4 linked regions of the Arabidopsis thaliana genome follow. The protein of the gene in region 1 interacts with the protein of each later gene in a pairwise test. Each region holds a gene or a part of one and is shown on either strand. Other genes may lie near its edges. The genes, in order: ERD14, ATAF1, AT4G33905 and AT4G18340.

Region 1 (6,964 bases):
TAAAGTAGTTGCAGAGCGCAAAGGTAATGATAGAAACATGTGAGCGTTTCGAGCAAGTTGCTTGCTACTTTTCATTTTATAGTTCTCTCTTCTACTTTCATGAGTGTTCGTTGTTTTTCTTTTTCTCGTCACATGAAAATCCTGCAAATCATTTTTTAAAAACTTTTTACAGCCAACAAATCTAAATCACTTCATCATGATATTAAGTGTAACATAGATAGATGGAAAAACTATCTTTAATCACAAAACGCTCAAGTTAACAATCCGTGATCGTGCCTAGGAAAAATAAAGCAACCTCCCATACTACTTTATACAGGAAAACAACCTTTACAGCACTTTTGTTCTGATTTGTCTAAGCTAAGCCTTGAAATTGCAGTCCCTGGTTTCATATCTCAAGTTCAGGTCGATTCTTCAAAGGACAAAAGCGATGCGTCCCAGAGTCAGTCTGAGCTTAGCTGTCATCTTCATCAATGCATATGGGCACAAAACTCATGCCAGAGAAGAGTTGTGGTTTGGTTGTGTGAGAAGATAAACGGTTCGCAACAGCTCAATGGTTTCGGTCTTTACATAGAGAGAGGAAGAAGCATCCTTCGCTTCTTCTTCCTAGCATGTCTCACTTGCTTTGTGATTTTCATACAGAGGAGTAATAGTAAGGTGACACAAAGCAGGATAAAAGCAAGTTGCAACCGCCTGAAGTACAAGGATACAGCTGAAAACACCACGAGTGCTAACATCACTAGTTCCCATATGACAAAGACTACAACATCAACCCTGAATCAAAAGCAAACGAAACGAATAGCATAAGTACCACTATAGAATGTTCATTGTCAAAATTTAACAATAGAATCCAGATTGCAACAGAGTCGATAAGAATGAAAAGTGTATGTCAAATTGTCAAAGATGGTTCAACGTGGACAAGTCAAAATTATAGTTCCTTGTGTAGGATTCACATAGATATCCAATGTTCAACGACAATCCCTTAAAAGATGAGAAATTTACGGTTCCAATTGAATTAAATATCACAAAGTACAATTTTTCAAATACAACTCTAAGCACGCAGCTCCAAATCACAGCAGATTAAAAAGGAAAGGATAAGCCGGAGATCTCTAACCTGGAGGAAGAGAAATTGGAGGTGGAAGAGAAGAAAGAAACGGAGGCCCAATCATGCTTTGATCTAATCTGATATTCCCTGAGCTGTTCTGCTAGATTCGATCTTGTTATCATCGCTTCTTCTCCACCAAGTCCCGATCACAGTCCCGATTCGACGAAGAGCTCAAGAAGCGTTTGAGAATCACGAGATGTAGGAAAAATCTATCACCAACATATAACTAGAATCTAGAAATCCAAAACAATGGAAAAACAAAATCTGTGAATTGGAAAATTTCGCATCAAAATTTTACAGCGACGAAACGGTGTCCGATTCGTTAGGAATTCGGCGAACGTTGCGTGGACTCTCTCGGTGTCAACAACCGGGTCGGGTTATAGATCCGATCTGGATTCTTAAGCCCATTTTATGGGTATTGGGCTTTTACCGTTACTCTTTTGTTTTGAGTTGTCATCATATATGAAAACTTTGTTCCGATGCCATGAAATTTGGGCTTTTAAGAATCATGAAAACTTTGTTCTAACAGAAATAGAAACATCAAAGAAAAAGAAATAAAACAGCGATGCATCGATTGATTCTCATGTCCCACCAAGTAAAGCGAGTGCTAAATATTGTTGAATATTCCTGATTTGACCACAATAAGGAAAATATCACGCCCATAAAACTCAGACGGGCGGTGAAAAAGAAGAAATCGACAGAAGAACAAACGCATGACGTTCATTACTTAGCACTAATCTGAAACTTTCGAATTATAGTATTTGATCCATATGTATTCTACGTTTTTCAGAAAACTTTGTTCAGATATCTCAAACTTTCGAATTAATTAATATTATTTTAAAATCTATAGTTTAGTTGTGAATTCTAAGTGTCGGCTACAATTTGTCGGTTCGCTATCACCGAAAACATTATCCAAAGAATAAGTTAAGAGCTGAGCTTCGGTGTATATGACAACAAGAACCAAAAAGACGAATAAGTTAGTATTGAAAAAGATAGGTTTGTTTGATATGTGTGTTGATACGTCACGGTTCGTGCTACGTCTTTGTTAAATTTAGAGACCAGAGATTACTGATGTGGCACGTCGGTTCATTTTTTTTATTTTAGGCGAATTTTAAGAGATGATGCATTTACCGATTACCATCTGTCCTTCATTAATATTTTTAGTATATCTTTTTCAATAGGTCGAAAATGACATCCCACACATTAACATATTAATTCATAAGAAATCCAAGTCATCTTATGCTCATTTGTCTACTCATGATTTCATTATCTACATCTAAGTTTATCTTTAAAAACTGCATGAAAACATAACCATTTACGTTGAAAAAATACATACACAAACCCTTTTCCCATAAACGAGATTACGAAAGATTGTTTTATGTGCCCCAAAAATGGTAAACAAAAGATGATGCTAACTTTCTATTCGTTCTAAAATCTAAATCTTTAGTTTTAGTTTGTTTATGTCCACGATCATTTCTTTGATAATACTTTTGGCGGATTCACAAGCGCAAATTACCCGTCTTATTGTAGCATTAGGACTAAAAATGAGATCCGGTAGCATTGCAACAACACCTTCCTAATCGATTGAGCCAATCGGACTTATATTACTTGTTGGATTTGTTTTTTTTTTTGTTTAGAGTATCCAAGATCATGTATTTACAATTTCAAAGATCATGCGTTACTAGATTGGCCTCTTCAACATGTTTAGTGAATAATAAGTTAAAATAACACCTAATCGTTGAGGATTCATAGCGTGATAAGAATTAAATAACCAAGTTCTTATTGGTTTGTTTGTATTTTGTAACGCATAGAATAGAAGAAAGAAAAAATAAGGAACGTTATAAATTTCTAAAAAATCATCATTTCTTCTCGAACAAGCTTGTTCCAGCGTGGCACTAGTCAATAAGTCAAGTGGACCCACGTAACCGACATCACGTCTTTTACGCCAATCAGTACATACTATTGGGTCCTACAAAAGGACAACTTCCCATGTTATATTGACACGTTTTAAGATGTAATTGATTAATCTAAATTTCTCTCTGACTCTTTTCTTTGTCTACATCCGACGTTCCATTTCTGACTATGAGCTCCGTCGTCCGATTTGCGCTAATGCTTGACACGTGTCTTCCAATCTATGGTGCATTAAATTGTTAATCCTTTCAAAATCTGTAATCCATTTTTGGAATTTGCAAGATGGTTCCTATATTTGTGAATATATATATATATATAAGAAAGCCCGAAACTTTAAGAACAATAATTTATAGGGACATCCCATTCTTTAAAATCTCTTTTGCGTTGTCAAAAATAAATTATTTTTGCTTTCAGAGGAAATGAAAAAACATTTTTGCTTATTCCATATTATTCTTACTCTATTTAAAGTTTGAATCAGTTTTCTTTAACTTGATAAACCGATCATTGAACTACAAAGTCCACATAACAAGTATTAAAACAAACAAAAAAACTTATGAAAGTCTAATATTTAAATTAAAAACAGTACACGCCTTGAACAAACCATTTAGTTTGTTTTCACTACTTTTGAAAAAAAACTATCTAGTTGCCATTCTTATCCATTATTTTTTATTCCACTAAATTGATATCAGATCACGTAAGCAAACTATTAACAATTAATTAATGAATTCTTCTTAATCCAATATAACTTTATCTAATTAACAGAAAAATGATAATTAACGTGGGGACGAAGGAGAAGATGCCATAAAAAGCGGGTCATTTTGTAATTTCATATAATTAGATATATGTTTTTAAATTGCAAAAAAAAAGTGTACAAAGAGCGTGAAATCCGCGGTGGCTTGGACCCCTCCCGAGTCCTCAACACTATATAACACACTTTCTTCTCTAATCTCCATCACCTCTTATTTTCATCTGCTTTTGAATTTCAAACCTTCACATAAAAAAAATACTTTTGAATCCGTGTTTCATTCATCGAATCTTTTTCCGATAACTATGGCTGAGGAAATCAAGAATGTTCCTGAACAGGAGGTGCCAAAGGTAGCAACAGAGGAATCATCGGCAGAGGTTACAGATCGTGGATTGTTCGATTTCTTGGGAAAGAAGAAAGACGAAACAAAACCAGAGGAGACTCCGATCGCTTCAGAGTTTGAGCAGAAGGTTCATATTTCAGAGCCGGAGCCAGAGGTTAAACACGAAAGTCTTCTTGAAAAGCTTCACCGAAGCGACAGTTCTTCTAGCTCCGTAAGTTTAGATCTGATCTGTTGATGATAAACTATAACATGATCGAATGCTTTTCTTATCTAACTATATGGGTCTGAATTTATACAGTCAAGTGAGGAAGAAGGTTCAGATGGTGAGAAGAGGAAGAAGAAGAAGGAGAAGAAGAAGCCAACTACTGAAGTTGAGGTAAAGGAGGAAGAGAAGAAAGGGTTTATGGAGAAGTTGAAAGAGAAGCTTCCTGGACACAAGAAACCTGAAGACGGTTCAGCCGTCGCTGCGGCACCGGTGGTTGTTCCTCCTCCTGTGGAAGAAGCGCATCCAGTGGAGAAGAAAGGGATTCTTGAGAAGATTAAGGAGAAGCTTCCAGGATACCACCCTAAGACCACCGTAGAGGAGGAGAAGAAAGATAAAGAATAAGAAGATTATCATTAAAGATATTAAGAATAATGATGGTTGATTTGCTTTGTTTTTTTTTTTTTTTATTGTGATGATTGATCATCTTTTGCTTTTGTGATGTGTAAGTTTGTTGGCTTTTTTGTTGATTACAATTTCTTATTTTCTCTTGTATATGGTTTTTAAAAACAAAAGATCTCAAGGTATTTTAATGGTATGAATATTTTCATTTGATTAAGTGATATGGATGATATAATTTTATGTATTGATAATCTTCAACTATTGCTCAAAGCCGTAAACATGACCCCAGTTTGATTAGCATTCAAGTTCGTATGTAGGAAATTAAATGCGTTGGTATAGAAGAAACATGATCGTGTATACTCTTCTTTTTAGTGATTGATTTGGCATTGCGGTCGACACAACTACTCAAAACGTGTAAGAAAATGGACCAACTTAGATATTTTTGTAGACCAGTTGACGTAACGTTTCCCTAATATGCTAGTTATGATAAGATCACATATTCACATGAGATCCAGCTAATCACAAAACATTTCCATTAATGGACCACATCCTTAGTTAATAATGTCTTTAACGCTCATCATTGTGGGTATATCTAATTATCTATAATCTTGTATGTGGGATTTTAATGTTGGGTAAGAAAGCCCAATGGGCCCATTAATAACTAAAACAATTCAGATACCGAAATCAAATACGACGGTGTTCTGTGGATATAACTCCGAGTTAGGTCGTTTTTCCGGTTAGGACAATTTACCGCCGACTAGTAAACTTGGAGTTTCATTCACCGGTGGAGATGGAGGCAGGGGAAGAGAAGAGCAAGAAAGCAGGAGGGTCTCGTCTCTGCTGCATCTGTAACCAGTGACGACCTGTCCTAAAACGACCGAAAACCCTTCAACAGGTAAATTTTGAATTAGGATCAAAATCATCGAGCTGGGTCTTTGGTTGCGTTACTCTTGTGGCATTTTCGGAACTGTTAAAGATCATAGTTTCTCAATCTCCTGCTAGTTAGTTTGTTACGTATAAGCAATAATGATGTGAGTATTTGTATAAAGATATGCAGAGAGTGTTTCTATGAGGTTTTTGAGGAAGAGATTCACCAAGTCATTGTTGGGAATCGTTTGTTTAAGTTCGGTGAACGAGTTGCTATAGGTGCCTCCGGTGGAAAAGGTAATTTCTTTACACTCCAATGATGGTTTCGCTTCAAAGTTCAAATTTTTACGAATCACTCTGTTTTAGTTTGATGTTTGCGCCATAACTCAAAAGTTTGTGCTGGTGCAGATTCTTCAGTGCTGGCATATGTGTTATCAGAACTAAACAGACGTCACAGTTACGGACTCGATCTTTTTCTTTTGTCTATTGATGAAGGGATAACGGGTTATCGTGATGATTCTCTCGAGACTGTTAAAAGGAACGAAGTTCAAGTAAGCTTTTGAATTTATGTGTTATGTGTTCACTCTAAAATTTTGTGATGATTTGTCATTCTTTGTTTTCCCAGTATGGATTGCCTCTTCAGATTGTTTCATACAAAGATCTGTATGGATGGACAATGGACGAGATTGTGAAGATGATCGGTTTGAAGAACAATTGCACCTTCTGTGGTGTATTCCGTCGACAGGTGAGGAGCAAGTTTCTTCATAGCATTCCCTCTTTGAGTAAGTTTCTTCAGAACCGTCTTTTCTGTTTTATGATTCTATGTCTGGTTGAATTTTTGAAGGCACTTGATCGAGGAGCTGCGTTATTGAAAGTAGATAAGCTAGTCACTGGACATAATGCAGATGATATAGCCGAAACAGTTGTCTTAAACATACTGCGAGGCGATATTGCTAGGTAAATATATACGTTTCTAGTGATGTTTTTCCTTGAATCTTGGCTATAATATGTCTCATGTCCCTTAATTGATTGATTTGTAATTTGGCTATTGTAGATTGAGTAGGTGCACATCAATCACTACAGGCGAAGATGGTCCAATTCCAAGATGTAAACCTTTCAAATATACATACGAGAAGGAGATTGTCATATATCCTTTGCTATTAAATCTTTTGTTTTGCTTCCCGAAACAACTTTAACTGTCAACAGAAGATATTCGTTAGACCTTAACATAGTTACACGTATGCTTATTTCAAGAAGCTGGACTACTTCTCCACTGAATGTAAGTTGTGCATTTTCAAAGTTTTGTTGCTTCTGTTCGTTTTTATCACTTAAAGAGAGCTCTAGCTAACTAGCTTTTTATTATAAGTCCACTACGAGCTGAATGCATAATTT
Region 2 (7,745 bases), about 28 Mb from region 1:
TTAAAAAAAAAATCAAGAAACTCACAATGCCTTCTTGCAGATTGAACTATTGGTTTAGAGCAAAGGGAAGGCTTTCTGATGATCAAGCTTTGCACCGGTAAGTAACTCCATCTATGTATATCAAGGTAACCATCTAAAAATTGGTATTATTCATCTGGTAACAATCCTTTAAACTTTAAAGGCAAGAATGATTGTAGACAAGTGAATCAATGGTGTTTTAGTATCCCAAGTTGATAGGTTGAGACTTGTAAAAGGCCAAACTTTCTTAATAGCATTGAAAAACTGACGGTATATTGAAATTCAATTTATCATTCTTAGCAAACTAATCATTTGGCAAAGCCATGTTGATATGCAGATGTGTCGTTGCATTTGCCTCGGATTTAATATTTTGTGGTGTTGGTTTGAACCCTCACCGGAGAAAAGGGGTGAAATCCGCCGCACTTAGCCTGGACCATGCGTAGGTTTTTATTTTCTCTTGGTGATGTATGAGTTTTGTGTGTCTGGGTTAAATTTTTTAATTACATTGAGGCATTATTCCAGTAGGGATCTTCCAGATAAGTAACTATTACGAGTTACTATTCCTCATTTGGTTTGCAGGATGTGGTTTCACCGACCTCTAAGAGCCGACGAGTGGTTGCTCTATGTGGTAGTTTTTTCTATCCTTGTTTCTTATGAACATTTCAGATCAAATGTTTGTTCAGAATAAATGAAAATGATTTTTGGTATAGAGTTGTTTTATAAACTTGTTTGCTGTAAGAGGTTCACCCACTTACAACACAAAGGATGCTGCTTGCAGATTGTGAGTCCAACTGCGCATGAGACCCGTGGTTTTGTGACTGGTCAAATGTTCAACAGGAAAGGAGAGGTACTCTTTCTCTATTCTTTTGAACCCTATTATACATACATATCTGGAAATGATAAGTGATAAAAGAATTCCTTTTGGTATGTGTTTTTGAATATGAGAACAACAGCTGGTTGTATCATTAACGCAAGAGGCCCTATTAAGAGAGGCTAGACCTCCAAAACCCTCCGGCACGTCGAAGCTCTGAATGGCTCTCAACGTAAGTTAAATAAGATACATTATTACGAGTACAAGGCGACGAATAAAAAGATCAAAAACCAATCTGGGTGGGTACTAAATAAAAGATTTTATTAGACAAACTCATAATGTCAATGTAGCACGCTGTATGTACATTGTTTGATTCCGGCCTTCTCACCTCTATCATCATCTATCTATAAATTCTCTTGTTTTTTTTTTTTGTTTTAAAATTCTTTCTCACAAGAACACCTTTAGATCGATTCGTGGGCCAGAAAATTATGGGCCCAAGTATCAAATTAGTTTTCGTACGACCCATTTTGGATCCGCGGGGGTATCTTTGATGGAACCGGTACACCTGCTTAACCGGCCGGTTTATAGTTTTGTATCCATTTGTGATTTGCGGGTTTCTGTTGCCACCTCCCCACTCTCCTCGCTTTTGTTGGTCTTGGAAAAACCCTGGGATTTTGGGTATCTCTGAGCACGAATTCTACATTCTCATGGCTTTCGAACACAGAAATGAAGACCTAAATTCCTTGGATTCGGAAGAAGATCTGGAGAAAATGGAGTCAGAGGTGGAGCAAATGTCGCGCAAGGTTTCCGAGTACAGGAAAAGCCTACCGAGTAATCTGAGCAATTCTGTGATTTCTTCTCGTAGATCCAATTTTCCCAACATCGATTCTTTGGGCTTTCGCACAACTAGCACAGGTTCGTACGTTTCTTTGCTTATATTTAGTTAGATACCTTCCTTCTCCTTTGGTTTCAGCTGGAATTTTAGTCTCTTTTTCTTTCTAGATGATGTAATAATAGATTGATCCTCTACATTATTCGTGGATCATTCTTGTGAAGACCAAGTTGTTTAGCAGCAGCAGACTTGCCTTTTGATTGTGATGTCGTTTTTTGCATTTAGGTTTGTGTCATGCCATGCGTGTAGAATATTGTGATACTTGCTACTATACCCTCTGGATGATTATGTTCATGAGTTATTACGCTTAATTCTGAGGTGATGATACATATACAAGGCTTTTCCATTACAATAAATCATGTATTTTTGTGGCTTAGAATCGACAAGCATGAGACTATGTGATGATATGTTTAGCTAAGCTGAGAGAAAATGATTGTTTAGCCAATTTTTGTTTACAGATACCATGAGATAAGTGGCCACATTAGGTGACACTAAGATTTCATAGCATTGTAATATACACAAGTCTCTAGTGAACTGCTGTTGTGATAACCAACTCATCAGTTATTTTGTTCCTTGCAAGTTTGGAAGAACCTCTAGTGTCAAGAGATGGAGCACATATAGGTGGAATCGAACAAGAATCTCGAGATAGCCTGATTCAGCTCAAAGAAAGAGTGTACGAGAACATTGCCACAGTGCCTCTAGTTGTAGAGAGAATGCGAGAGAGTAAAGAGAGAATCGACAAGTCCATTTCTTTCAATGGAACTACTATGCACCCGGCTTTCACAAGGCGGAAAGCTAGCTAACTGATCAGTTTCTACTTCTCCCTATTGGCTTTACCACTCAAAGAAAGCTAATGCATAGGAGGAGATATGGCTGGTATTTCTTTCTACTATATTAGTATCAACCAACATCTCTCGCATTTAGAATAAGAGTATACCATAACCTCTGTTTTGATTGTGTTCTACATTGAAACAGGTCTTTCTCTGATTTTAATATGGACTCTTATAGAATCTTGGGCTGATTCTACACCCTGTATGTATATGTAAGAATCACATAATCAGATGGTTGCACAATTGTCAAGAACACCCAAATCCAAGCTTGCGATTTAGCAATCTCACCCGTGTAAGAAACTTAAAACCATAAAACCAATTGATATAAGAGCTTTTCTAGCAAAAACTTAAAAATATAATTAACACCGTCGAAAATGGTGGAGGCTACTAGAGCGAGATATAAACTTTATCACCGTTTAATCGTGTGGGATTTTGAAATGATATGAACCTATTGCAAAAAGACAAAAAAAAAATATAAACGGAGGAACTAGGCAGTGGGACCGGAGATCCACCGACCGGAAACGAAGAATCCATAGTAAGATAGAGCCCAGGGGTTCGGTCGTATCGGACCGGTCGGATTTGGATTCTAACGACAAGTGAGTGGACCCCCAGAAACGACAGACGTAAGCAATGACAACATCAAACTCATCGCCACGTCAGCAACGGAGTTCTACTTGCGAAACGTGTCCCGGCAGCGTCATCCACCCACGTGTGTTCTAGAAGCTCTTCTCCTCCTCCGTATCTCGACACGTGTCCACTCCCTCTCCTTATATAATTGACTTTTCTCTCATTCTTTCCAAGTTTCAAAAACGCCAAGTTTCAGAGGTAGAGAGAGAGATACTACAATTGATTAGGATAGGATCAGGATCATCCTCAACAACCTCCTCCTAATTCCTCCTCCATTCATAGTAACAATAATATTAAGAAAGAGGGTAAACTATGTCAGAATTATTACAGTTGCCTCCAGGTTTCCGATTTCACCCTACCGATGAAGAGCTTGTCATGCACTATCTCTGCCGCAAATGTGCCTCTCAGTCCATCGCCGTTCCGATCATCGCTGAGATCGATCTCTACAAATACGATCCATGGGAGCTTCCTGGTGACATACTAGCTCTCTTTCTCTTTAATCTTTGCCGGATTCTAAATCTGAGATTGTTCTCTGCTGACTCAAATTCAATTTTACAGGTTTAGCCTTGTATGGTGAGAAGGAATGGTACTTCTTCTCTCCCAGGGACAGAAAATATCCCAACGGTTCGCGTCCTAACCGGTCCGCTGGTTCTGGTTACTGGAAAGCTACCGGAGCTGATAAACCGATCGGACTACCTAAACCGGTCGGAATTAAGAAAGCTCTTGTTTTCTACGCCGGCAAAGCTCCAAAGGGAGAGAAAACCAATTGGATCATGCACGAGTACCGTCTCGCCGACGTTGACCGGTCCGTTCGCAAGAAGAAGAATAGTCTCAGGGTATGGAATCAGATCTGATTCACATCTTTGTTTCAATCTCTTGTTCTGTTTCTGGTAAATTGAATCAACGGTGTTGATTTTTGCCCAGCTGGATGATTGGGTTCTCTGCCGGATTTACAACAAAAAAGGAGCTACCGAGAGGCGGGGACCACCGCCTCCGGTTGTTTACGGCGACGAAATCATGGAGGAGAAGCCGAAGGTGACGGAGATGGTTATGCCTCCGCCGCCGCAACAGACAAGTGAGTTCGCGTATTTCGACACGTCGGATTCGGTGCCGAAGCTGCATACTACGGATTCGAGTTGCTCGGAGCAGGTGGTGTCGCCGGAGTTCACGAGCGAGGTTCAGAGCGAGCCCAAGTGGAAAGATTGGTCGGCCGTAAGTAATGACAATAACAATACCCTTGATTTTGGGTTTAATTACATTGATGCCACCGTGGATAACGCGTTTGGAGGAGGAGGGAGTAGTAATCAGATGTTTCCGCTACAGGATATGTTCATGTACATGCAGAAGCCTTACTAGAAGGGAATTCCTTTCCTGCCGCCGAAACGCAACGCAAAACGACCCTCGTTTTTGCGTTTATGGCAACACGAGACCGTTTTATATGGTCAATGAGTGTGCCGATTCGGCCATTAGATTTCTGTTCAGTCTTCGTTTATTCTATAGACCGTCCGATTTCAGATCATCCCTAATCGGACGGTGGTCGTTGGATGTATCAGTAGTGTATTACTGTGTTAGGTAGAAGAAAATCCACTTGTTCTTAAATTGGCATAAAAGTCAGAAGCTAATATTTATATGTGCCGCAATCAATTTAATATTTTCTGTCTACTTAGGAGTAATGGATACAAACTAGCGTATTGGTTCTATATTTATTTATCAGCTTTCACAGTTGATCTGACTTACATTTATTGTGAACATATCTAACAAGTGTAGAGGAGTAATGGATACAAGCTAGAGTACAGTGTGTTAGCAGAAACGCTATAAGATGAAGTCTGATGTTGAGCTACATGTTACTGTCCATTGTCACTTGTCGGACTTCTTTGATGGAAAGATGAACTCTTTCACGGAATCTTGCGCTGAAAGTATCCTCTGTCTGATCTGCATATGCAAAATGTCATAGATAATATAGAGTTAATTGGCTACAAAACCCCATCGAACCATAAGAAATTGATTTGGTGTTCAAGAGTAAATGAGTAATCAGTACTCTCAACATAGAGAGAGTAACAACAGACTAAAAACTCAGCAAAACAAAGTAGTCACTACTCATTCGTTGAAGATCCAGGCAAACGCAACAAAGCTGAGCATAGAAGTCAGGAACATTCATATCTCATTCAAAGTTTTCTAAGATCAAAATTCAACCCTAGCAACTAACAACTAATAAAGAGATCTAACCAATATCAATTGAAACCAAGTGATTGTAGGCTGTAGCAAATATCTGCGATTCGAAGCGATGATGATCGAGAAGGTTGACGGTTCGATTTATTAAACACAAACAAAAAAAAAAGAGAGAGAGAGAGAGAGAGAGAGAGAGAGAGAGAGAGAGAGAGAGAGAGAGAGAGAGAGAGAGAGAGAGAGAGAGAGAGAGAGAGAGAGAGAGAGAGAGAGAGAGAGAGAGAGAGAGAAACTCACAGGATCAAGAGCGTTGGGCTCTGGACCGTAATCAGCGGTTAAGAGGAAGTACGATACAACAGCAGTCGCCACCACACTGGTTACCTTCACCACCTTTTCAATTTGGGGATTCATCGATGTTTTCGTTCCCAGAAAGAACAATTCCGGTGATTTTGGTTTTTTTCAAGTGACACAATGATGATGTTATACGTTTTTTTATTGGTAAAACGACACACAATCCGATTTGTGTAAGAAAATTCATGCCGTTTTCGTTCACTTCAAATATGGGCCCAGAAAGGCCCAAACATCTCATCAAGTCCTCACGGCGTCGTTTTTAAGATCCCCGCTGCGTTGATTTATGGCGATCTCTTTCGGCGGTTGAAAACCTTTGAAAATTGAAAATGGAGAAATCGACCTCTCCGGCGACTCGAGTCACCGAACCTCCTCCTGCTGCTACTTCATCTCTTCCAGCACAAGCTCCTCCGCTTCCTACATCTGCAGATCAGAGATCAGCTGAGTTACCTTCGCCTGCTCAGCCAGCTCAGATGACTGCGCCTCCGTCGACAGTTACCACAGATCCGTCGTCCAGGGGAAGAAAGCGAGCGCTGGAAGCGAATCTTCAGATCGAGAGCTCCAACTACTACAAGATGCGTCTCCTTGTCAAAGATCTTCGCCCTCACGTTCTCGAGGTTGGACCATAATTGTGATAAAAACATTCAAACTCTTTGTTTGGGAAAGGGTTTATACATAACAACTTGGATTTTGTGGTGTGCTACAGGTTTTACGAACTCCAGACTTGAGGAACTCTAAGGCAGTTATCGAGATTCAAGAGAGTGAGAAGCTCTTACACTCTCTTCTTTTGTTATCTCAATTTTCACTTAGCTCAACAAAAGGCCCAACTTGTTTGATTCTGTGTCCCTTGAAATGATGATGTTTGCAGAGATGAAGCTTATGCTTCAACTGTACGAAGAGATGATTGGAGAGTCTCCCAAACGTGAGAAAACAGCTAAGAGCGACTCTTTATCCAACGGAAAGGCGACTACTACTACTACTACTACTACTAGTGTACTGAGATCATCTGAAACTGAGAAGCACAGCTCTGATGGAGATGGCGACAAGGTGGTTGGAGGGTCGGCATTTGGCTGGAACTTCATAACCTCTGGAGGGCCAGGCACTGAACCTGTTTATTCTGGAATGTCAAAGGAAGAATACAGAAGCTCTCACCCAATTATGCAAGTGGAGGCAGAGCTTGAGTTGCCCAACACATTCTAAGCTTTGTTAGTGGTGTTTGTATAATATTATTCACTTTGGTATCCGTTCATCCCAATGTTTTATATGTATCAACTGAAACAATGGATTAGCTTCTACCCATGAAGCCTTAATTAGTACACAATATGCTTAACATCTAAACCTTTTTTTTTACACAATATGCTTAATGAGACAGCACATTACCTTTGGATTGTTAATCAAAGCTTCTTCATCTTCTACCAAAACCCAAAATAATAAGTCTTTAGTTCTGTGTGGAAGCTGAAATCTTTCTGGCTTCAAGAATGGATCCTTCGGTAAGTGCGATTTGAGATTCCTTCTCCATTCCCAGGACAGAAAGAGCAGCAGACTGGAGATACAATGCAACATACCAAACAGGAGAAATGCCTTGAGCCTTCATTGCATCATCTAAAGCTTCTTTCGCCATGTTACTCATTAGGTAACTTTGACTTCGCCGCACCAAGACTGTTGCAGAGATCATTCCCAAATCAAGAAACTGGGACAATTTTTATAGACAGGGCATCATCAACTATGGAGGAAGGTCTTGTTACGGATTCAAGTGTGAAAGAAAGACATACCTGCGTGTAAAACTCAATGGCTTCACTAAAGTCTTTTCTTCTAAATGCAATATCACCTTTTTTCTTCGAGTTTATAGCTTCTTGCATCTGTTCCGTCCACATAAACGAAAGCTGCGTTTAAACATGTCACATAAAGAAGCCTTCATGGGATGGGAAGCATAAGGATTCTAACTCTAAAGTGGTAACCGTAAAGCATGACGACTTACATCTTCATCGTCTTTGTAACCAATTTTTTCCAAGATCTCAACCATAGACGTCAGGTCTTTTCCCGAGCAAGCCTC
Region 3 (7,777 bases), on another chromosome or scaffold:
GTTGGACTACATATCCACCTTACATTCTAAGATCGATTCCAAGTCATTATCGACAGCCTGAATGAAGCAAAACAACTCAAAAGAAGCCCACCTAATTCAAATCACAAAAACGTTCAAGTTCCATCGAACCAAAACTTAAACCACTCTACGCAACCAAACTTCAACCAAAAAAAAGGATAAATTCGGCGCATTTTTTTGTATTTGTTGACCAGTGAAGAAAATGACAAACTGGTCAACGAGATCTGATCATTAAACTATAAAACAATATATTTTAAAGTAAATAGAAATTTGTGGTGCTTCATTGGATCGACGAAAGGCGTCCCGATATTGAGGTTCGTTACGCCGGCGAAGATTTTCATCGGAAACTTATCTGATCGTTTACGCCGGCGAAGATTTCCATCGGAAACTTAATCTGATCGGAAGGAAGAAGGCTCGATGAAGAGCAGATTGAAGAGCTACAGGAGGAAGAAGCTAGGGTTAGCCACAGTTATCGTCTTCTGTTCTCTCTGTTTCCTCTTCGGTTTCTATGGCTCCACTCTACTTTCTCAGGTGTGGAAACTCTCTGATCTTTTACTCTGTACTCTTTAGATGTGATTGGAGTCTTTAGCTTGGTTTTGTGACTAATCGAGGGTTCTATGTTTGGGATCAGAATGTGCCTCGTGTTAAACCCAGGTTGAGAATGTTGGATATGGTTGAGAATGGGGAAGAAGAAGCTAGCTCGATGCCTCATGGTGTTACTGGAGAAGAATCTATTGGATCGATTCCTTTTCAGGTCTGATTTTGTTGCTAATTTTTTGACTTTTAAGATGTTTGGATTGGCAAATTAGGTGAAATCGATTAGTTAGGGCAAGATTGTGCATTTGATTATCTAATTGAACTTTGTTTTTTTGTTCATGTGTGGTGACCATGAGTGTGAGTGAGAGTATTGTGTTTTTTAGCAATTAGTCAACTAGTGAAATTTAGTACTTCATCTTTATGGATTATTTGGTTTAAAATTGGCAGGTACTTAGTTGGAGACCTAGGGCTATATATTTTCCGAATTTTGCAACTGCAGAACAATGCCAAGCTATTATTGAGAGAGCAAAGGTTAATCTGAAACCTTCTGCTTTGGCTCTCCGGAAAGGAGAAACTGCTGAGAACACTAAGGGCACTAGAACAAGGTCTTTCTTTCTTTCTAGTTTCATGTTTCGAACATTCATCAGTAGCCTCAGTGTTTTTGCCTGGTGTGTTGTTGTTATACAGCTCAGGAACTTTTATCAGTGCTTCAGAAGAGAGTACTGGTGCTCTGGATTTTGTTGAAAGGAAAATCGCAAGAGCTACGATGATCCCAAGGTCCCATGGAGAGGTATGATTCTCTACTTCCCAAATCTATGTGAATCGTAAAACTAAGGCATGTTGAAAGTGGCAAACGTAGGCTTGATGGCCTTTGGTTTAGTGCTTATCACCCCTTTAATTGTACGAGATTTGATGTTTTTGGCAGTCATTCAATATTTTACGGTATGAACTTGGCCAAAAGTATGATTCCCACTATGATGTTTTCAACCCAACAGAATATGGACCACAATCAAGCCAAAGGGTAAAATCCTTAAATCTGTCATATTTATAGCTTTCTTTAGAACCCGAGACCTCATTTGAATTTACGCAGATTGCCTCCTTCCTGTTGTACTTATCTGATGTTGAAGAAGGCGGTGAAACCATGTTCCCATTTGAGGTCAGTTTATAATATATTATTTGCTTACTTATTATACAGACCCTTTCGTTAGTTTTGATTCCATTTAAACGCTTTCTATTTAACAGAACGGTTCTAATATGGGCATCGGATACGATTACAAGCAATGTATTGGGTTGAAAGTAAAGCCTCGGAAAGGAGATGGTCTTCTTTTTTATTCCGTGTTTCCAAATGGAACGATTGATCAGGTAAACAAAGTTTGAACACATTTCATTTCTTCTCTTGACTCCTATTCCTTGGATTAGTTCATGCTAATAGGAGCTCTTTGCTGTGGTTCCAATGCTTCTGCAGACTTCGCTTCACGGGAGCTGCCCGGTGACCAAAGGAGAGAAATGGGTGGCAACCAAATGGATCAGAGACCAAGACCAGGAAGAATAAGTTAGGTTTTTTTCCATATATCTATCTCAGTCTCACAGCTTCTATCTTTTGACTAAAAATCTGCTGCTGGATCCCTCGTGTACAGTTCTTCGCTGAAACAGTGTAACTATTTAGCTTTCTTATAATGCGAATGATACAAAAATTAAAACCTGATAATGAAAACTTGGTTCGAAATATCATTTGAACAATAGAAGTTTCTTGTTGTTTGATATTTCAGTAAAAGAAATATAAGAACTTATAAGATTAACACAGAAGTGATGACAAGTGTGGATCGATTTGGGTGTTCTGATTACTTGGTATTGAGTATTTACTGCTCGTTTGAGTCCGTCAAGTCTCTTGTTAATTTGCAATGTGTACTAATTTTTTCCCTTATAACTTAACAAAATGTGTTGTATGATTGTATTTGTATCTATTAAATGGAAAATTATTTTGTCCATGTTATATATATAAAAAATGTATCTGAGCTTACACACCAGGGACCATCTTTTTATTCGAGTTTTTGTGGACACATGAGTCATGAGTGATACCGATAATAATTTTTGTTTTTTTTTGTGTGTGTGACATCATCTACGTTTAGTTTGGTTTAGAATCTTCGAAAAATTGCCGACAGAAAATAAGAGAATCTTCTCTTCCAATGATCTACGTTCTTTTTGACTAAATATATAAAAATAAAAGAGTTCATAAAAAGTGGCTAAAAGTCGGAACTTGGGACACGAACGCAACACGTGGCTTCTACTAAAGGTTAGCGTCACTGAATTAAGTTTTACGTGTCAGAAGTGATGACGTCGACACTAACCAATGTGAACAGGACGTGTAAACAACCCTAGAACACTACAGAACAGAAACAGTTTGGGGATGTTTGGTTTTTGAACCGTCCACCTTTGACGGTCACGCGCTCTTCAGCCTTCAGGCACTCTTTCCTCCGCCTAACATAGAAATTGGAAAGGTTATTTTCTCCAATAATTTGGCTTGGCTTTTGAGTTTATTGAGTGATTAGCTAATAATAAATAATAATCAATTTGTTGGCTTATATATAATCAATGTGCTAAGTAACACTATAGCTTTCACAAAAACTTCGGTTATTAGGAAAGATCTCGACAATTCTGTATCTAGAAAAGGCATGATTAATTAATTTATTAAGAACAAAACTAATTTATGAAGAACGATTGCAATGGTACGAGACGCGAGTAGAAAAACCTTTATACTCGCGAAATATACAAATTGTGTGTTTCATTATTTATTGGCATTTAAACTTTTTAAAAAAACAGAGCTCTGTTTCTTCTTCTCCACCGCCGTTATATATAAAACCCTTCCCTGAACCCCCAAAACTCTCGGAGCCATCACACGACAATGACCGGCGCATTGTTTAGAAACGCTGCTTCCGACGCCGCTCGGATCTTTCGATTACAGCGAGCAACGATGACGAATCCTTTTGGAAAGCTCGACCCTTTACCGATAGGAGGAAACATCCAGCGATTGCAGTCGAGGCCTTTTTATCGTACGCCTCAGTTTCTCGGGAAAGCAAAGGAAACAGGTGTCTCTGGTTTCTGTTCGTCTTCGTCTTCGTCTTCTTCGACGGTCTCTACAGCAGGATTCATCGGATGGTATTTGGGAATGGTGAAATCTCGGCCGGTTCTTACCAAATCCGTCACGTCCTCGCTTATTTACATAGCAGCCGATTTGTCTTCGCAGGTAATTTCAAAAATCTATCTCATTTTTGTTTTGTAAGCCTACAAATCAGATTTTAGATATTCTGTGATTATGTTCTTGTTGATTCAGTCCTAAGATTCCATTGTGTTTTCTAACAAATGGTAATAGTAGAAGTCACTGTATCTCCATTGTGCTTTAGAGATTTGAGATAGGACAAGAATTACTTCTAGATTAAGAAGTAATGATCGATTCTTAGTAATGTGGATGTAGTAGCGGGTTTTATGTGAATTGAGTTGTTATATTTGCTTACGTTTCTTTGTTCTTGTATTGTTGTTGACAAAAGTGTGACTTGTTTGATCTTTCAACAGACAATTCCACAAGCTTCAGTGGATTCTTATGACTTGGTAAGAACAGCAAGGATGGGAGGATATGGGTTATTAATCTTGGGTCCTACACTTCACTATTGGTTCAATCTCATGTCAAGTCTCTTCCCAAAACGAGATTTGATCACAACGTTTAAGAAAATGGCCATGGGACAGACAGTCTATGGGCCTGCCATGAATGTTGTTTTCTTCTCACTGAATGCAGCCCTACAGGGTAAGCTTTCAGCTGTACATGAAAAATAATCAACTGGTTCCTTTCTTATAGTCTATATATTCTTCTTTGAGCAACATATAAAAGTATGATTTTTCTGAAACTCTAGATCCTGTTGACCTTCAATCTTAAGGGTTGTTATAGAGCAGGTTGTTTGATGTTACATTCTTTCTCTAAATGGCGTTTGAAGAGAGGAGAATTGTTGTTAGAATTTGATCCTAAGCTATTCTTGATGACATCAAAGTCTGATTTTCAATTATTTTTTCAGGTGAAAATGGTTCAGAGATAGTTGCTAGATTGAAAAGGGACCTACTTCCCACAATGCTTAATGGTGTCATGTATTGGCCTTTGTGTGATTTTATTACTTTCAAGTTCTGCCCTGTTTATTTACAGGTATGTATGATTGATACCTACCACTTTATTTCCAACTTAGCTTCACTTTGGTTAACCTTTTGTTCAAGACAGATCATATATTTGCTGCATTCATTTTGTCTTATCGTGAGTTTTGGTTATCAACTGAAGTCTGGTTTCTTTTTGTCTGCAGCCACTTGTGAGCAACTCGTTTTCGTATCTATGGACAATCTACATAACTTATATGGCAAGCCGTGCGACGCCAACCGCCATTGAAATTTGAAAAAGCTCTCTGGGAAACTCTCTCAGTTTAGAAATGAAGAAATGAAGCCAAAAAACACTTTTACTAAAAGAAACAGGGCATTCTTCAACATTCTTTGTTTCCTCTCTCCAGATTTTAGGAGGATATAATGTAAGGAGTTTTGGGGAAAACTGTGCATTTGGACATGTCTTACACTCTTAGATTTAATTCAATTCTATGTTTAGTATTCCATGTAATATTTGAGTAAAATGGTGGTTCTTTAGCTTCGATCAACTTTTTGAGTCTTTACCAGGCAAAGGAAACTGTTGACACAAGTCTTTTATATTAATCCTTAGTTACATCAGTACGGTTAACAAAGACGGAAAATTTACACGAGACCAACGGAGTCAAACCAAATGCTATGTATGCTAAAATATGGTTTTTGTTCTCAATCTTATACGCGTCCCAGATTGGTAGGGTAGCAGGTAGCAGTGCGACAGCTTGTAACAAAAAAAATTGATATGCCAAATGTATTGTTTTCTCATAACAGTAAGTAAAATTTTAGAAATTTAGGGTCCTTTCTTGTACGTAGGTCCGCATATATATCTGTACCAGAAGAAAGAGCACACAAAGAACAAAACAAAACAATTTAGTAAAAAGGAATGATAAAAAAAAAAAGTAAATTCTTCTAGTTCTTTTTTTGAATATCAGTAAATTCTTCAAGTGAAGAGAATATACGTTTTGTTATAGAAAATTAGAAACTTACTATACTTCCAAACACGTTGAAAAACTCCCAATGAGATTAGGAATCTATATATAAACAATATAGACAAGAATAGTCGAGACAAAAAGAAGCTTATGCAAAAAACAATTTCTTACTTTTTTTTGTTTTGTTAAAAAAAGCAAGTTCTTACTTAATAAGCAACTGATGCAGCGCATCTTTGCTTTGTTCACGCCTTTGATGGGCCTCGTCGTGACCAAGCCTCTTTATTGTTTCTCATTCATGATTTAGTAGTTTATGGACTTTATTAAAGATGTGGGCTTTACGTGTTTGGCTTTTAACTTCTTTTTAGAATTAGGGTCTTTGTTTCTGATTCTTATTTAAAGAATCCTTACGTTGTAGAATAGATTAGTTTTGGATTATTGAATAAAGAGTTTTAAGAGAGCTTTCTATAAAGCCTAGAGAGGAGGACTCTCAACCCTAAGGGCTTGCAAAACCAAGTCGATATCACTACCGATCTCGACTTTATCTCTATTGCTTCTTCATCAAGTTTTGACGTTCTAAGCAAGATCCGTTTGTAAATCCGAGTTCTCCTAGAGATCTTGTGTTCTCGTCCGATATTTAGCTTCCGCTCTCTATCAACAACCGTAAGAGAAAAAAAGTGATCAACAACCATGGAATATGGAGAAGAACCCTCGATTAAAAGATTTCTAATGCTTCCTGATGATTTGGTATTTAACTGCTTAGCTCGCGTCTCAAGATTACATTATCCAACTCTCTCATTAGTCTCCAAAAAATTTCGCTTTCTTCTTGCTTCAAAGGAGCTTTACCAAACCCGAATCCTCTTAGGCGGAACGGAGAGTTGTCTTTACGTGTGCGTACGACTCCATACCGATTCTGAACAACTACATTGGTTCATTATCTACCAGGGACCAAATAGCTCCAAAAAAGTTTTGGTCCCGATTTCATCTCCCAATTTTACTTCCGCAGCCCTGCCGGGTTTTGTAGTGGTCGGTCATGAGATATATGCCATTGGCGGTGGATCAGAGAATAAAAACGCTTCGATAAATGCAACTGGATCAAAGACTTATAACGCTTTGTCTAGCGTTATGGTTATGGACTCTCGTTCTCACACATGGCGTGAAGCTCCAAGCATGCGGGTGGCCCGTGTGTTTCCATCTGCTTGTACCCTCGATGGGAGAATATATGTTACGGGAGGCTGCGAAAATCTCAATTCAATGAATTGGATGGAGATTTTTGATACGAAGACTCAAACTTGGGAGTTTTTACAGATCCCTAGCGAGGAGGTATGCAAAGGCTCTGAGTACTTAAGCATAAGTTATCAAAGAACCGTCTATGTAGGGTCTAGGGAAAAAGATGTCACTTACAAGATGCATAAAGGTAAATGGAGAGGGGCAGACATATGCCTGAATCATGGATGGAGTCTGGATCCATCATCTTGTTGTGTGATAGAGAACGTGTTCTACCGTTGCAGTCTTGGGGATGTACGTTGGTATGACCTCAAGAAAAGAGAATGGGCAGCTTTGAAGGGTTTGGAAGGACTGCCTACTTTTACTAATTATTATAGAAATTTTAAATCGGCGGATCATTGTGGAAAATTGGCGATTTCTTGGGAGGAGTATGTGTTAGTTGATGACGAAACAAAGATTTGGTGTGCGGAAATTGCGATTCAAAAACGCCAAAATGGAGAAATTTGGGGAACGCTTGAGTGGTTTGACAATGTGTTTATATCCAGTGGACCAAACCGTCATGTGGATTTATTAGTGAATGCTCTTACTGCAACAGTTTGGTGAATTGAATCAATCACCCATGCATTTTTTTAAATAAGTTGATCGTTTGTCTTCGAGGCATTTGGACATGTCTCATAGTATGATTATGTCTTGCGCTTTTTGTTTTAAGCTTTTTACTTCAGTTTGGGTTTTAACATTCCAATGTAATATTTAGTGACTTTGACCAGACAAATGAAATATTCACACGAATCTTTTCAAGAAGCCTTTTTTGCTTTCATTATTAACTTTGTTTACATCAGAGAGCAAACAAGGAAAAATACACATGAGAGAAAAACAAATCAGCTAAACAAAATGTCGTTTAC
Region 4 (7,912 bases), on another chromosome or scaffold:
ATTTATCATTTTAGACTCGTCTCCGTTTTTTTATTTGTCATTGTAATAGGGTAAGTAATAATCATTGAATATGTGTCTAATTTGTTTAAATACAATTCTCTGATACATGCAAAACTAAAATTCTAGAATCGAAAATGCCTAAAAGCTCATGACATCAGACAAGTTGACAAAACAAAATACAACTAAAACCAACGATAAGCTGTCCCCTAATAATATAAAAATTTGAACTTTCAATATAAATTTCTAAAATATTACGTGTCTTATCCTTTAATGTCGCACCCAAATTTACATACTTTTTATAAAATATTTCGAAATTCTCATTTTCTTGTCGTTAACCAAAAAAGATGGAGTAAAAAGAGAAACATACACATAGATTTAAGGCCCTTTTTACGTATGCGCGTCATAAATGAAAAACACTTTGATTAGTATAAGAACATTTAAATTTTAACTACTATAAAGAAAAAAAAAGCACACGTAAAAGCTTTTAGCCATGCATGCACGATGTTTACTGGTTATCGAGAAAGCATTATCGTTGTTGGATAAGACATTAACTTTCCTCTCCTATATGATCATAAAGCTTGTTTTTCTTCTTCATAAATCTTGCCGCTTAATCCTTATCCATTATCCACCAAAAATTCAATTTTGTAGGCAGCTTTATGAAATAATGCTTTACACCATTTTGACTCGATTATAAGTATTATATATATCCACTATTCGAAATGGCCCACGATATCTGTATTTTAATATGACGTCAAATATCTTATTTTGTCTAATGAATCCAAACTAAGTACAGTATGTGAATCTTGGTAATATATGTATATAGAGTTCAGTTCAAATATAAAATACAAGTGTATGACGTCAAAAAGAATTTTTAGATACGTTATAGGCTCATTATTTAACTATATGTTCACTTTGGTGCAGCTTAGTATCTTTTATGCAGATATAATTTGAATTTTTGATCTGGTGAACTATATATTGTTAAGTAAAAAAAAAAACATGTCGGTCCAACCCAACCTAGACCTGTCAAGCATGTTTAATGATGGTTTGGCCTGATCCATTTGTTAAACAGTAGGTAAAATTTGCAATCTTTTTTTTTTTTTGTTTTTTTTTGATTTTGCAATCTTCTCCCTTATCTACACTGTTCTCTTTAAGAAACCCGCTATAACACTTCCCGAATCATTCATGCGGGAGAATTCAAAGGTACCTTAATATTACCACCTTCAAACCAATTCGCACATGGTCCAAGTTGGAAATGGTTAACCAATTTAGTTACCTATCACTATCAAATTCCCACAGTTGGGTGTGATGCATCATACATTTGCAAATGTCCAACATGGAAATCCGAATCAAGTAAACCCTATATATACTCTATTTTTCATGCGTTAAAAGGGTTAAACCCTTTCTTTGAAGAAACTTAACCTTTGTTCAAAAACATTGATATCGTTGAGTACTTGTGTTGCTTTAAAAAGCTTTCATGTCATTTTATTTGCATATTCGATATTGTAAATAAATTGCAGATTAAATGGCATATTCTTTCAATCCGAGCTAAAACAAAATCATTCTCTTTTTCTGTCTGCTGTTTCAAACTTGCTGGACAATTATATGATCTTTCTGATTTGGACATTAAAATATCCACAGATAACGTAAACTTGAAATATTCTGCAACCAAAAATATGTCCATTCAGTAAATAATTAACAAACTAGATCATATTCATGAAGAACTAAACCAGAATCATTAAATTTAAACATTAGAAATAAATTAAAACTTGTGTCATATACTCGATAATAAATCAAATTATCTTTAACTTTACACATATAGGCCTATATAAAACAATCTGTTCGGCCGTGTATGGTATATAGTTACGTCATTATCAAATTAATCTATATGGAACTGCCATAAGTCGACCGGTGGTCAATCCTAAGCCACGAAATCAAACTTTTAAACGACGAACTAAAAGTTTTCAGCCAACTATAAACAGGCCACTCTGAATAATTGACTGATTTTGACTCCTTTCCACATATTTAATTCCAACATCGAACGATTACATTTTTAATTGCAACAAGTTCAATAGCTTGAGACGGGTATATTTCTTATAAGTTGTATACATGTGTTCAAATAAAATGGCTCTTGGTGTCGTGAAAAAGAGAGAAGATTTAATATTATAGAATCGAAAAGAAGACACTAGGGTATTTTGGATTAGATCAATACAGCCAAAAGTTCCACTTTAAATTAATGTAATTTTCTGGCTAGCCAACCTTTCGAGAAAACGAATTGACTATCGTCTACGTGATCAAGTTTAACCCTTTATATTTTACCATTTAAAAATATAGTAAGTAGAAATTAATTGATTAACAAATCAATAGCCAACCAAGCGAAAGCACTTACTATTTCTTAAATAAGTTTTGTTGGGGTTTATTATGTCAGGTGATTAAAAAACAACCGATGGTTGAAATTGACCGACGGCTCCAAGTGTGTGACACTGCCCCGCCAACTTGTCTAATTCCCCTCGAAAGCATATTAGCAACATTATCCCAATTGACCATTTTATTTTACTTTTGTTATGCTAATGCTTTTAGTTATTTGTCAATTTATACATTATCATATTTGTCTTGTTTTATTTTACAAGTGCCTCAAAATTAAGCATGATCCTTTTGTCTAAAGGAAAGTAAGTATATCCCTTCTCTATCATCTTAATCCGAATAACAATATATTTGAGATTTTTTCTTGACAATTAATGGCAAATTATATTACGACTTATATATCTTTCACGAATACAATTTTGGATATCCCGTTCTTGATAACTTTCGAGGACTTGTATGAATTTCCGTCCAAAAGCCTCGGATTACAAAAAGAAAATAAATATGTGATATATGTTTATTTGTATGTATTATATTTCCCGGGAGATTTGAAAATATTAAACTTTAAAGGAGAAACGGAGGAGGCTTCCTCAGTGTACTATTGAATCCTTTGACACGTCAAGTCAAATCGGATCTCCAATTAGCTTTTGTCTAAAGAAATATAGTAAGGTTTGTTTGTCATATTAATTAGGCTAGGATACACTTGCGGTCAAGATTCATGCGAAAATGTAATCATTATTCTTCGAATTTGAATTAGCATTAAATTAATCATAATTAACACGTGATTAGTAAAATCAATGATTCAGATAAATTAGATAATAATATTAATAGTAGTAAAAGTTAATAAGAAAAATAAAGACCATTTTTGTGGGACTAATAACCCATTATAAAATTTCTTTTGTCATGAAGTTTTAGCTGAAAATTTGATATTTTACCTTTCATGATTATTCTACAAGACATGATTATCTATTAAAATTTCATTGTGTTAATATTAATTTTTATACCACGTCTTTTTCTCCATGATTATCGTAGAATAAACTTTTGGTGTATAGTACAAGTTTGTTTTAAGTCACGACTCACCTACTTAATTGAAACGAATATTTTAATATTTTCCGGTGCTTTATGAAACTTCTTCAATATTCTATACACGTCCACTTATGTGTATCCCAATCTCTTCTTAATTTAATAACATTGCTCACTTTTTTTACCAACCCAACAGTTAACACCACTTGTATAGTACATGTAATTAAACGAAACACACAAACAACGTATTTCCTTCCATACATGTGCATGCAAATTGTCTTGTCATAGAGTCTGCATTAATCTAGCTATATGATAAATAACTACATACAAATATTTTAAAACCTAATAATTTTCTTTAATAAGAAATCCTTCGTTGTGGTTTATAGAAAGCCGTCAGTGGATAAAAAAGGCATAAATGAGAAAAGCAATATAGGGAGGCAAAGCTAAACAATTTAAAAACACTTTTTTTAAAAAACATAAACTTCAACACTAAACCTTTTCACAACAAAAAACACGGAAAAAAAACAAACAAGCGAAGAAAAGTATTCTTCACCTTGGTTGGCTTATTGTGTATGTCTATAAATATTCCATTAAACACTTCTCTTAAAACCCAAAACCTTCACAATCTCTTTCCCTCCCTCTCTCTTCCTCAACATGACATCAAGAACATTCACAAGACATTCCAGTCTCATTCATGTTTTTCTCCTGCTTTCTCTCGTTTTCTCAGGTTATTTTCTTTTTCATTCTGAAATTTTAAAACCAAATTCTTAACACTTAAGTTATGCTTTACGTTGCCGCCTTAAAACCTCAACGTGTAAGATTTTAACATAGTGAAATAACGGATCGATAATAAGTCTAGAATTCATTTTTTCAATGTTTGTTTAATGGAATATTAAAGATTTTTGGCATTGTTTTCTAAAAGTTCGATTCTTTGTTTGGAAATATAGGGAATATACTACAAACAGTAACGTCTCTTGGCATCAATTACGGACAAGTTGGGAACAATTTGCCTTCACCGGATAAAGTCATTAACCTCTTGAGATCTTTAAGGATCACAAAAACAAGAATTTACGACACTAACCCTCAAATCCTTAGTGCCTTTGCAAATTCAAACATCGAGATCATCGTCACCATCGAAAATCAGGTTTTACCATTACTACAAGATCCTCAACAAGCTACCCAATGGGTAGATTCTCACATTAAACCCTATGTTCCGGCCACTAGGATTACCGGAATTATGGTCGGAAACGAGCTTTTCACCGACGACGACTCTAGTTTAATAGGGTAAGTACTAATCGTTGAATATTAGTCTAATTTGTTACATGATCACAGAATTAGTTTTTTTTCATTAACTGATTTCACATTTTCTTGACTACCACTTGGTCAAATGTAACGAACTCCTTCGAAAAAAATATTATATTTATTAAACTCCACTTTGAATTTCAATAAGAAATGAGTGTAATAGTTTTTGTCCAATAATTGCTAATTTTGACTATATTCTCTCCTCTTTTTGGTAATAGATACATGATGCCGGCGATAATCAACATCCACAAAGCCTTGGTCCAATTAGGTTTAGATAGATACATTCAAGTCTCGTCTCCAAGCTCTCTTGCCGTCCTCGGTGAATCTTATCCTCCATCTGCCGGAAGTTTCAAGCCGGAGGTTTCCTCCGTGATGCAACAACTTCTAGATTTCTTGGAAGCCACGAAATCTCCTTTTTGGATAAATGCTTACCCTTACTTTGCCTACAAAGATAACCCACAAGAAATCCCAGTCGATTACGTTCTATTCAACCGTAACATCGGCATGACCGATCCCAACACAAGACTACACTACGACAACATGATGTATGCTCAAGTTGACGCAGTTGCTTTCGCGGCTGCGAAACTAGGGTACCGTAACATAGAAGTTAGGGTTGCGGAAACAGGGTGGCCTTCAAAAGGAGATGTCGGAGAGATTGGAGCGTCTCCTGTGAATGCTGCCACGTATAACCGGAATCTTATGATGAGGCAATTCGCCGGAGAAGGAACTCCAGCGAGACGGAATGCAAGACTCGATGTTTATATATTTGCGTTGTTCAATGAAGATATGAAACCAGGTCCTACTTCGGAGAAAAACTACGGTATATTCCAACCAGATGGATCATTAGCTTACAATTTGGGATTCTCTACAATGTCGACAACGACGGCAAATTCAGAATCTGTCACTTATTCATCCTCTGCCACTAAGGTACGATTAGTATTATGTGGTGAATTTTGTTAGAATTTGGAATTATTGGGGCCACGACGAGAATAAGTTTGTGAAAGGACTAGATGTGCAAAATGAATTAATTCTCTGTTTTCTTCTTCTTTCAGGCAAAGAGGAGCTTGGAGTATTGGACAATTTTGATATTGGCGATGGTTCAAGTTGTAATGTTGAGACTATTTTAGAGGAAAAGTTATTGACAATATAATAACGCGATTGTTTAGGATATTTATGTAAACAATTTAATTATAAGCTTGATAAATATAATTTATATTCAATTCAACATTCAAATGAAGTCGGTCAATAGTGAAAATTCTAAATTTATTGTTGTCGTTAACAAGTAATTGACATATATAATAAAGAAACAAAGTTTACTTTTTAAGAAAAACTTGTCGTATATGAAAAGGTTTGAGTAAGTAGTAACTTTGACCAAAAGGCATATAATCGATAACCAGTAGCGGTTTAGAATCAACCATATATTTTTTTCCCTCTAATTCAAGAAATATGGCATAGCTTAATTCATTTGTATATGTTGTTGGATATTTTAAATACAATCCCTAGCTAGTTATATAATATAGATATTAGAATGCAAACATATGCATTGGAGTGGACGGTACGAAGAATTGGAACTGAAGCTAAGAAAAAAAAGCCATGAAACAAGAGCTTATGCTCACGATGCAAATTCACATGCTCATTTCCAATTATATCGGCTCAATATACTCCCTTGTTCTTGCCACAAACGATGCGTTTTGACCTTGAAAACATAGACACATATGCTTTTTTCTCTCCATATATTATTTTACCGATCAGTCAAGTTTAGTTTTATAGAATAAAATAATTCAGCTGCACGTAAGGAAAAATAAGTACTTTCTGAAAAATCAAAGGACACGAACAATCAAACATTAGTATGCAAATTATTTTCATACACTTGACCGTCAAAAATGCACTGATCAATGCACCGGTCATTCCGAACAAAAAAGAAAAAAAAATCTTTAAAAGATGAAAAATACAAAAGTGCGACGAGAGGAACAAAATCGTTTCACGTACGACGTATCGGCAACGATATCTAGGGTTGTGTAGAAAGATCGCAAAAGAGAGTAGTAGCGGAATTAGGGTTCTGGTTATGGCATGGAGATGAACCGGAAGGAGGTACGAATCCTTTGGGAAGCATAACCGAGAAAGTATCCTGTCGAACCGGACGGTTTAAACCGTTATTCTTCTTGGCCATCATCTTGAAGTAGCCAGCACGATGATGAAGACCACGGCGATGACGAAGAGTATGTCGATAGTAGTAGTAGTATTGGTGATTGTAACGACGACGACGGTGGTTGTCTCGTTGCAACCGCTGGTTCAAGATAAACGGTGTCGTTTTCTTGATGTAGACGAGTTGGTGCGGTGATTCGTAACCGTTGAGATAAGCTTCCGTTTTTTGTGTTGATGATACTCTTGTTTCTTGATTCGAAGATGATGATGATGGTGAGATGAGGAAGACGAGAGTGAGAATAAGAGAGACGATGAAGCTTTTTAGAAGACTCTGTTTCATCAAAACCAAATCTTCCATTGGGATTGAAAGAGAGTATAGGGTTTTGGCTGAGAGTAAGAGAGAGCGTAAAGATGAAACAAAAGCTCAGAACGAGGAGGGAATTAGAATTATATAATTCCTAATTAGTGATAAGTAATATCATTAATGAAATTATGAATTTGTTTTTTAAATTTTCGTCAATGTTGTGTTAAATATGAATATAGTTTTATATTGTAGTCGAAAGAAAGTGATTAAACATACAAAGGCACATGTTAATTATTTTTGAATGCAAACAATATAAAAAACTCATCACTACTTCATTAGAAAGGAGGAGGAGGAACATCGATGGTGGTTCCAGCCATAATCTGACCCTTACCAATTAGACGCCAATGCCTATCGACACGTCGGCTTAAAGCAACCTTCTCTCCTATGGTGGTACACACCGGAGACGTCAGTTGGAGTTTCACCATATCTTTCTTGACTCCAATAACCTTAGCTCCCGTAGACATAGACCCGATGTTCACCATCAATATCTCTTCTTTGGTTAGCTTTGACACTTTCATTTGCTTCTCTTTTTCCTTTGTCCTCACTCCAATGAGACGAGTCAGAAGCTGGTAACTTACTTCAAGCTCAACAAAGACGTCAGGGAGAGTACCCATTTCACCAAGGACTTGACCAACCAACCTATCAGCACGCGTAAGCGTAGGGTCCATGGTTGTTCCAACTCCGATTAGACCTCCCGGTACAGCAAACTGAAGCTCGTTC

The links.
Region 2: the proteins of ERD14 (region 1) and ATAF1 interact in a two-hybrid assay, tested with the Arabidopsis thaliana proteins (one large-scale study listed by BioGRID).
Region 3: the proteins of ERD14 (region 1) and AT4G33905 interact in a two-hybrid assay, tested with the Arabidopsis thaliana proteins (one large-scale study listed by BioGRID).
Region 4: the proteins of ERD14 (region 1) and AT4G18340 interact in a two-hybrid assay, tested with the Arabidopsis thaliana proteins (one large-scale study listed by BioGRID).

What each region holds. Positions count from the first base shown.
Region 1 is NC_003070.9:28,584,757-28,591,720, reverse strand, and holds ERD14 (Dehydrin family protein), read left to right. Parts: upstream 1-3,793; 5' UTR 3,794-4,063; coding exon 4,064-4,312; intron 4,313-4,399; coding exon 4,400-4,708; 3' UTR 4,709-5,058; downstream 5,059-6,964. Other genes in the region: AT1G76185 (NADH-ubiquinone oxidoreductase chain), read right to left, coding at 564-771, 1,112-1,224; AT1G76170 (2-thiocytidine tRNA biosynthesis protein, TtcA), read left to right, coding at 5,496-5,533, 5,763-5,869, 5,981-6,123, 6,198-6,529, 6,627-6,719, 6,811-6,851. UniProt on the Arabidopsis thaliana protein: Intrinsically disordered protein acting as a chaperone. Prevents heat-induced aggregation and/or inactivation of various substrates. Binds to acidic phospholipid vesicles without affecting membrane fluidity.
Region 2 is NC_003070.9:264,981-272,725, forward strand, and holds ATAF1 (NAC (No Apical Meristem) domain transcriptional regulator superfamily protein), read left to right. Parts: upstream 1-3,012; 5' UTR 3,013-3,490; coding exon 3,491-3,650; intron 3,651-3,736; coding exon 3,737-4,014; intron 4,015-4,102; coding exon 4,103-4,534; 3' UTR 4,535-4,839; downstream 4,840-7,745. Other genes in the region: AT1G01710 (acyl-CoA thioesterase II), read left to right, coding at 41-97, 356-457, 598-646, 797-865, 972-1,049; AT1G01715 (uncharacterized protein), read left to right, coding at 1,537-1,744, 2,313-2,524; AT1G01725 (adenylosuccinate synthetase), read right to left, coding at 5,036-5,110, 5,642-5,755; AT1G01730 (uncharacterized protein), read left to right, coding at 6,022-6,309, 6,399-6,453, 6,561-6,892; BSK4 (kinase with tetratricopeptide repeat domain-containing protein), read right to left, coding at 7,131-7,382, 7,465-7,575, 7,671-7,745.
Region 3 is NC_003075.7:16,251,273-16,259,049, reverse strand, and holds AT4G33905 (Peroxisomal membrane 22 kDa (Mpv17/PMP22) family protein), read left to right. Parts: upstream 1-3,289; 5' UTR 3,290-3,457; coding exon 3,458-3,799; intron 3,800-4,125; coding exon 4,126-4,354; intron 4,355-4,619; coding exon 4,620-4,744; intron 4,745-4,895; coding exon 4,896-4,985; 3' UTR 4,986-5,298; downstream 5,299-7,777. Other genes in the region: AT4G33910 (2-oxoglutarate (2OG) and Fe(II)-dependent oxygenase superfamily protein), read left to right, coding at 436-549, 650-772, 1,003-1,160, 1,243-1,345, 1,481-1,576, 1,646-1,711, 1,798-1,917, 2,021-2,107; AT4G33900 (Galactose oxidase/kelch repeat superfamily protein), read left to right, coding at 6,339-7,478.
Region 4 is NC_003075.7:10,128,143-10,136,054, reverse strand, and holds AT4G18340 (Glycosyl hydrolase superfamily protein), read left to right. Parts: upstream 1-3,862; 5' UTR 3,863-4,035; coding exon 4,036-4,108; intron 4,109-4,328; coding exon 4,329-4,665; intron 4,666-4,901; coding exon 4,902-5,610; coding exon of another isoform or gene 5,611-5,643; exon of another isoform or gene 5,644-5,735; coding exon 5,736-5,810; 3' UTR 5,811-6,005; downstream 6,006-7,912. Other genes in the region: AT4G18335 (uncharacterized protein), read right to left, coding at 6,692-7,186; AT4G18330 (Translation elongation factor EF1A/initiation factor IF2gamma family protein), read right to left, coding at 7,468-7,912.